Linked DNA regions of Cricetulus griseus. The protein of the gene in region 1 purifies or fractionates together with the protein of each later gene. This does not show direct contact. Links are inferred from orthologs where the notes say so. Each region holds a gene or a part of one and is shown on either strand. Other genes may lie near its edges.

What was found. Proteins that work in one complex are often made in the same cells at the same time.
Region 2: the proteins of Stx18 (region 1) and Rint1 purify together in Homo sapiens (co-immunoprecipitation; 6 studies listed by BioGRID and IntAct, counting the BioPlex papers as one, with this or other methods). This does not show direct contact. The link is inferred for Cricetulus griseus from reciprocal best matches to the Homo sapiens genes STX18 and RINT1.

Annotation. Positions count from the first base shown.
Region 1 is NW_023276807.1:106,983,665-106,988,066, reverse strand, and holds the start of Stx18 (syntaxin-18), read right to left. Parts: upstream 2,913-4,402; 5' UTR 2,901-2,912; coding exon 2,645-2,900; intron 1-2,644. UniProt on the Homo sapiens protein: Syntaxin that may be involved in targeting and fusion of Golgi-derived retrograde transport vesicles with the ER.
Region 2 is NW_023276806.1:170,806,060-170,809,940, forward strand, and holds part of Rint1 (RAD50-interacting protein 1), read right to left. Parts: intron 1,658-3,881; coding exon 1,547-1,657; intron 1,456-1,546; coding exon 1,230-1,455; intron 653-1,229; coding exon 515-652; intron 1-514. UniProt on the Homo sapiens protein: Involved in regulation of membrane traffic between the Golgi and the endoplasmic reticulum (ER); the function is proposed to depend on its association in the NRZ complex which is believed to play a role in SNARE assembly at the ER.

The DNA.
Region 1 (4,402 bases):
GCCCAGCCCATTCTCAAAGTCATTCAAGACATGCAGGTAAGTTGGAAGCATCTATCCTAATAGACAATGTGCTTGAATAATAATGTGCTCAGTAATGTCAGATGCATCAGGCACCATTAGATATGTATTTGCCCACCACCCTTTGTTTCCATTCCTGAACACAGCACTCCCCTTCCAAAGTTCTGGTGGGGCTTTAATCATAATATCCAAGTCACCTACTGGCCACACTCTGCAATGGACATGTGGCCTAGCCAACTAAAGAACCTTATTCCTGAGAACACAACAAAGGTTTTGGGGTCCAAGTAGGAACAGGTCCACCCCTGGGGTTTTATGGATGAGAGCTACAGAAAGACACACCAAGCCATTAGTTACGTGAGCCAACACACATATTCTGGTTTTGATTGTAATGAAAAATTATAATAGAGTCCACGAAAGCCTGGATAAAGAGAAGTCGGGTATTTATTGGGGAATTACTCACAAATGACAAAGCCCTTGGATGCTGCCATCTACCTTCTGACCACCATCCAAGAGAGTGTAAGAGCTTTCTCCCAGTCCATATGTAGTACCTAAGACCCTGCCCTGAAGGGGCCGTTACATTAAAGACTAATGGCTGAAAGAATCCCCGAAACACTGGGTGGTTTATAAGTTACTATTACTTGTAAACAAAGATTTCAGACTCTCACAGGCACTTGCACACCATTCATCATTTCATCCATCAAGTGACCTTCTAAAGTGGCTATCATTCTTAGAAAAAAAAAAAAACAGGTAATTGAGGTTAAGCAACTTCTTGACCTCACTCAGCCAGAAAGAAATTTAAATCCAAGCCCTTCTGCTCCAAGTCCCATGTACTATGAACTCTCAAGAAGAAAAACACTTTGACATTGAAAAGTCCAAAAACTCTGTTTAAAATTATTATGTGGGGTGGTGTTGAGTGATGATTGAGTGATTAGGAATGCTTACAGCTCTTGCAGACAATTCAAGTTCAGGTCCAAGTATCCAAGTAGGTTGGCTTACAACCACCTGTAACTCTAGCTCCAGGGGATCTGATATCCTCTTCTGGCCTCCCATGGGCACCCCCACATACATGGTGCGCATGCATGCATGCATGCATGCACACACACACCTTTTAAAATTTTAGGTGGATATTTAAGATACAAAACCAGAGGGAGAAAAACCACAGAACTAGCAAAGCAGAGTTGGCTTCTACCTCCAGCTCTAGGACATGGCCTCAGTTGCAAAGACTTGGGACCCCTCACTGCACTTGTCTGAGTGTTGTCTTCCCACTTATAAAGATGATTAGTCTGAACAAGATGAATTCCAGGCCCTTTAAAAGTCTGTTCTGAAAAGTCTAAGTTCTGTTTAGATATGCAATCAATTTTTAACCAGTTGCTGGGTAGAACCTCAAGCAACTTGACATCAAGCCCAGCAGTTGGTAATGGCTCTAAGGGCACAGAATTGAGGGGTTCTGAGCTACAAGATCTATTGGAAAATGAGTGCTGGCTTCTGTGGTACCACAGAAGCAGCATGTAAGAATATATGCGTAGGCTTGACATGTTTGCCATTGCTGACATTTCCCCTTTAACTCAGATGTGCTAGTCTCTTTCTACCCCTGGGGCTGCCTGAACCTTCAAAGAATTGTCATCCCTAAGGCTTTTAAATGAAAATAATTGAAAATGCATTTTCAGCACTTGGGGTGCAGTCCAACTGATAGCAAAGCTCTCTCCCCACAGGGCTTCTAGCTGAACTGTGCTTCTTAACTCTACTGTTTCCAAATCCCCTATTCCTGAGGACTGAAAATCTGTGCAGTGTTAATAATAAACCACCAATTTCAGGAAGGGCCTTCACATACCAAAACTGTGCTGTCCACACACTGAGAGCAACCTCCACAACAGTTTAGCCAGACTGAGGGTAGGGAGTGAGGACACCTTATTTCCCCTTCCTCTCATTTCAAACTGAGACATGCCCCCTTCAATGTAATACAGGGATAATAGGAAATGTGATATATGATATATATGATGAAGTCAATGGAGTTTTGTTGTGCTTTTGTTTTGTTTGTTTGTTTTTGAGACAAGGTTTCTCTGTGTAGCTCCAGATGCCCCGGAACTCACTCTGTAGACCAGGCTGGCCTCGAACTCCCAGATCTGCCTGCCTCTGACTCTCAAGTGCTGGGATTAAAGGCATGTGCCACCATACCAATGGAGTTTTTTAAACTGTTTCAAATAAAAAGGGAGTTCAGCTGAAAGTGGATTTTAAACCCTATGCGCAAGGGGAGGCCCAAACATATACATGAAAAGGGCAAAGGTAGAGAGTGGTGAACGTTGCGACAGGAAGCGAAGGACTGTGGGAACTTTTCACTGGCAGTCAAGTCAGCAGTGACAGCGAACTCACTGCCTCAACTTAGCCATCAACTTCTTACTACATGGATAACCAAGCATCTCTAAGTCTTGCTTGCTACAGTGCTCGGATACACGTCCCTCTTTCCTTATAATAAACCTGTCGCTGCCCCTAGCCAGCTGTCGGCTGCGTGAGACCGACTCCCTCTCTTCACTCGGGGCTTACAAGGCTGGGTCGAGTTTGGAGTTCAGGGTCCCGGGTGCAGATCTGCCCCATCTCCGGCTCGGCGTTTCCATAGCAACCAGCTTACCACTTCGCGAGCCCGGCTGGAGAAGTCTCCCTTGGGCCGAGGGCTTCGGCGGAACAGCTCGTCCCGGCTGCCATCGGCCCCGCCACCCACCGCTACTCCCAGAGCCTTGTTCCGTGTCTTCACCGTCTTGACGCTCGCCCGGAAGAGGAGTGTGATGTCCACCGCCATAGCGACCCACACCGCAGTCAGAAGCCGGTCGGCACACGTCAGCAGCAAGCGACCCCGGCAAGAACCGGGTCGGGGAGGGACGTTCCATTTTTGCACGCCTCCGCCCAGGAACTGTGAGCAGAGAAGAAAGGTTCCGCTCTCCGCCCGTGTACCACGGCGAGTGGAGAAAGGTTCCGGCCTCAGTTACGAAAGCGGACTCTTCACTCTAGACGGAGACACTCAGTATCTCCACACTCGTTTCTCCTCGCTGCAAACCGGCAAGCTCAGACGCTCGGAAACTTCCCGGTGCTTTTAGAACTGGGGTTCAAGGAACGACAGTATCATGAAGCCAGAAAAAGTGCTCCATTACGATTCTTTAGAAGGCAGGCGGTTTGGTTGACAGGTGCGAGGAGTATCACCTTTGACCTTTGGTGTCAAGGGTTCCCCTTTGAGCAGCAATGAATGATGACCGGAGCTAGAACAGGGTAAGTGTTCAAGAAACAGAGTTAGAGGCCAGTGGCCTTTCTTCTTCAACCTTCAGCCACTTCGTAAAACGAATCCAGCGCCTTCTTTGGAATGCACAGAGAGTTGAACAGAAGGCGCATATAAAACGTTTTCATGTTGTTTGACTCTTAGTATGTGGCCATTAGGCATTGCCGATGTTGATAATATGGTTGTTCACAGTCTTCTTACATATGATGCTGAAGAGGCTTAGAGCATAGATGAGGAGAGCTTGCAGGAATGTATCAGAGTCAGACAAAAGTGAAAGTCAGTGAAACATACTGACCTTGATCGTGAGTTATGTGCTGAAAAGTGCTCTCTTGAATCATAGTTATAGGGAAAGGAGGAAGGGGGAAGAATGAGAGTTACTTAAGTTGACTAAAGTCAGACAGTAAGATTTTTCTGAAAGCTTGACTCGTGGTTCATTTTATTTTTTATACACTTTTAACTAAAATACAATTACACCCTGTTCCCTCCTCCATTCCCTTTCCCTGTTCCAATCCCCTCAGTTCCTCTCCCTCCAACTCCTTCATCATTCTCCTTTTCGGTCTCAAATTGATAGCCTCTTCTCCCTGGATTATTATTGTTACATAAAAGTATCCATAGATATATAACCCCATTCTGCGGAGTCTGTTTTTTGTTTGTTTGTTTTGTTTTTTATTGTTGTTGTTTGTGTGTCTATGGTTTCCAGGATAGTCACTTTGTATTGGACAACCAATTAGTGGGCCCATCCCTAGGATAGGCTAACCATCCCTCTCTCATCAATCATAGTTGCCTGGAGGCCAGTAGTTTCTTGTCCAGGGGTGTGACCCTGTGGTTCAGTTTTAATTTAATATGGACAATATAACTATGATGTGTGTTAAAATGCAGCTTTTAACCGTCAACAAGATGAAAAGCTAGTCTCATACTAACCCTGGGATCATATTTGCCTTTGCACTTGCATGCCCTAATCAGTTGTATGGCTGAGTTTTCCAGAGACACTCATCTTACAATAGGCTAAATGCAGAGCAGCTGTCTTCTATTAAGCCAGACTTAAAAGAGAATTGCAAAAATGCAAGTGCCAATTCTTCTTACCCAGTCCTGTATTGTTTTGAAAAAAACTGTTTCCTC
Region 2 (3,881 bases), on another chromosome or scaffold:
GCTGGCTCTGCCTCCCAAGTGCTGGAATTAAAGGCTTGTGCCACCACCTCCCAGTGAAACTACTTACTTTAACGATTTAGTTATTTTTATTTTATGTTATAAATGTGTGCCTGCATGTGTACATGTGAACTACATGTATGCCTGGTGCCTGAGGAGGCCAAAGGGCACTGGGTTCTCTAGAAGCTTATGAACTAGGAGCTAAATCAGGTTTTCTGTAAGAGAAGCGAATATTCTTATCTGCTGAGCTATCTCTCAAGCCCCAAACTAACTACAATTAGTTTAGGTGTTTTGTTTGTTCCTTGTTTTTTTTGTTTTGTTTTGTTTTGTTTTTAAGACAGTCTCATATATCCCAGGCTGACCTCAAACTTGCTTTGTAGCTGAGACTGGCCTTAAGCTCTTGGTCCTCCTGCCATGTTTCTACCTCCCAAAATGGGATTACAAGTGTGCAACTCCATACCTAGCTTAAAAACTTCATTTTAAACTAACATCATACATTAAAAAAACCTGTACTTACCAGTTATAACCAAAAGTAAAGTCATAAAAACTTCTGCACAGTCTGGAACCTTCATTTCATCCACATCAGTGATGTCTTTATATTGGGATACCCAAACAGCCTCTGATGAGAGCATTGAGTCCATTTTTTGAAGAGCAACTAACAAGACAAAAAGAAGGATCATGTCAAGGAGTTACAGTCATTCTTAATTTATCAACTTACACTTCTTAGCAATGAATTTTTTTCATACAAAATAAATTTTCAATCTCCCACTAACTGCACTATATTTAAAATGTTCTACTTTAGAGTTAAATAAGATACCTTGCTCTCCCTCCTCTCAAATCCTCAAAATAGTTAAGCTGACTGGATATGGCACATCCAAAAATACTCAACCAAGTAGAATAGTACATGGCAAAAATCTATGAAACAGCAATATCCTCTACTGACTCAATATTTCAACATGCAGACTTTAATTCCAAGAAAAAAAAATCTCCAAAAAATGTACACACCAAAAACAGATTGCCAGGCAGTGGTGGTACATGCCTTTAATCCTAACCCTTAGGAGGCAGAGGCAGATAGATCTCAATAAGTTTGAGGCCGACCTAGTCTATATAGAGAGTTCTAGGCCAGTCAAGGTTACACAGTGAGACCCTGTCTAAAAATAAAACAAAAAGCAAGCAAGCAAACAAAAAAATTGAGACAGCCCTCCCAACTCAATGGCCACAGGAGCACTTACATTTTCTCTCCACAGTTAACCATCTCTGAAAACAGGTTTCCTCTGACAGAATATGCATACAACTGGCAAAAGTGCTAGGATAGCCATGAACACTGTGCAGCTCCCTTTCAAACAACAGCACCTCATCCACCAAATGACAGAAAAGGTTGTCATCATAGAGCAGGCAAGGTATATCAGAAGCCAGCTTCTCAAGAATGAGCATCACAAGGCCCCGAGAAAACTCAAGCTGAAAGAAACAAACAGGTACGAGGAACCATGTTGGTCAGACACATGAACAATTCTAATGCAGCTGAAATGCACAGACCTCAGCCTCTTACCCTGGCGTTTACTGCACAGCCTGCCTTATCCAATATGGGCTGAATCTTCTCATCCAGAAAGTGAGCATGGCTTCCAATCCACATAAGCACCTGAGCCAAGTACCATTCAGGCTAAGGGGAAAGGAGATGACTTCCATTCTTTATCTATTCTTTTGTCACAGACAATTCTCATTAAATGCATTTCATTATAACCAAACACAAAAATTGGTTGAAAGTTCCTATATGTAAGACAGTAACTCAAACCCACAGAAGACTTCATATCAAATGTTTCCCAATATACGCAACAAATTTCACTAATTTGGCTTAAGTCAGTAAACTCATAAATCTAAAATACCATATTGGAGTTAGGGGTACTTAGTAGTGTAATGTTTGCTTAGGTATAAAAAGCCTTGGTTTCAATCCCCAGGACTACAAAAAAAGGTTGGGGGGGGGGCATAATGACAACAATGAAAATAAGACAGTCATGTACACTTAAAAGCTAACATCTGCCCAGCACATACAAAACCCTAGGTTCTAGAGCAAAGCAAAGTCACCAGCAGGGTGGCTCTGTGGGCAAAGGGACCTGCCAGCAAGCTTAACAGCCTGAGTTTGTTCCCTGGAATCCACATAGTGGAGGAAAAGTGCCAATTCAAACAGGTTGTTCCTCTGATCTACACAGAGAGAGAGAAATAAAACGCTGGTTTATTTTTAAAGTCCTCCAAACTAGCATGATGAGGTATTACAAACAACTGATATCTTTGAAATTGTTTTTTGAAATAGCATTCCAAAAAAAGGTTTTGGGGATAGGATCTCATGTAGCTCATGCTTAGCTTCAAACTCCTTATTTCCCCCTTTTGGTTTTTCAAGACAGTGTTTGTTTCCCTATGCAGTCTTGGCTGTCCTGGAACGTACTCCATAGACCAGGCTGGCCTGGAACTCACAAAGATCCACCTGCCTCTGCCTCCCAAGTGCTGGGATTAAAGGTGTGTGTCACCAACACTATACTTATGCTTTCTTTTTTCAAAAGCAAAAATAAGGAAAAAGTCAGCTGATCTACATTACAACTACATCCAAGCCTTAAAATGGCTGTAACTATGGAAAGGAAATGTAGGCACAAAGAATTTAATATTTTTATTACATTTTTCTCTGTGTATACATGCACATTTGAATGTATGAGTATGTGGCCGTGAACAAGTGTCACAGTGAACAGTTGGCATTAACAAGACAACCTTTAGGAGTCGGTTCTCTCTTGCTACCATATGGTCCTGGGAACCAAACTCAAGCTGTCAGGCTTAGAGATGTGTGTGGCCACACCCACTGGGACACCTCACCAGCCCCACATCATGCTTCTTAAGTTGTCTTTAGAGAGGATTCTGCAAACAACATCCCAAGTTTTTCTAGACAACTCAAAAACATATACAAAGCTGGGGATATAAGTCAGCACTTTTCTAGCATGTGGAAGGCCCTGGGTTCAATCCCCAGCACTGGAGGAAGAAACTTACTGACTGTTAAATCCCTATGATGTTCCAAAGGTTGGGAATACAAATAAGGGCAAAGTCTAATCTCAAGGACTGTCTCACTTTAGGTCTAGTGACAGTGTATTAAATTCATTAGGATCAGACTTTCAAACTGAGCCAACACAACTCAAAATTTACTTATACCAAATTATATTATTGCCTTTCTACAAGTTCAGTTTATGTTTTGCCTCATTTACTACTGAGTACTAAATGATTCTGCTATTCCAACAACCCTCTATCCAAAAATGAAACTCATAAAATATAAACAGGAATATACTAAGTTCATTCATGTGCATGTATAATACTTGCCTGGTGTGATCTTGCACTAAATTCAGAATTGACCCTGTTCTATGCACTGCATTGGCTGAGGCAAACATCAAGAATAAACAAGGTAGTGCTCACAACCTTGTAGATTATAATTATGGAAAAACGCCAACAGGATACACTGGTGTGGCCCCTCAGTTCAAATTTTTCTGTCACTTACTGCCATGATGTCTCTTCTGCGGCTATGAATCACTTTGGCACTGGCAACCCTAGTCAACATCCAATGCTCTATCTTGTGGAAGGAGTCACATCTCTTTCACGCTATTTATAGACCTACAGGAGTGGTCTGTACAGTGAAGACTAGGCATTGTAAAGCCTGCATGCCCAAATGCAAATGTGAGAAATTAGTCAGACATGTCCCACAGAGAGCACCAATTCTGACAACCTGTCAACCTAAGTCCTAGTTATGTCTACAAAGGGCAGTTATAAAGCAGGAAGTCAGCTGTTTTGGGAAAACAGAAACATGAATAGAGGCAGGTTTATAACTTACATACACAAAAGCCCTGGCACAGGTA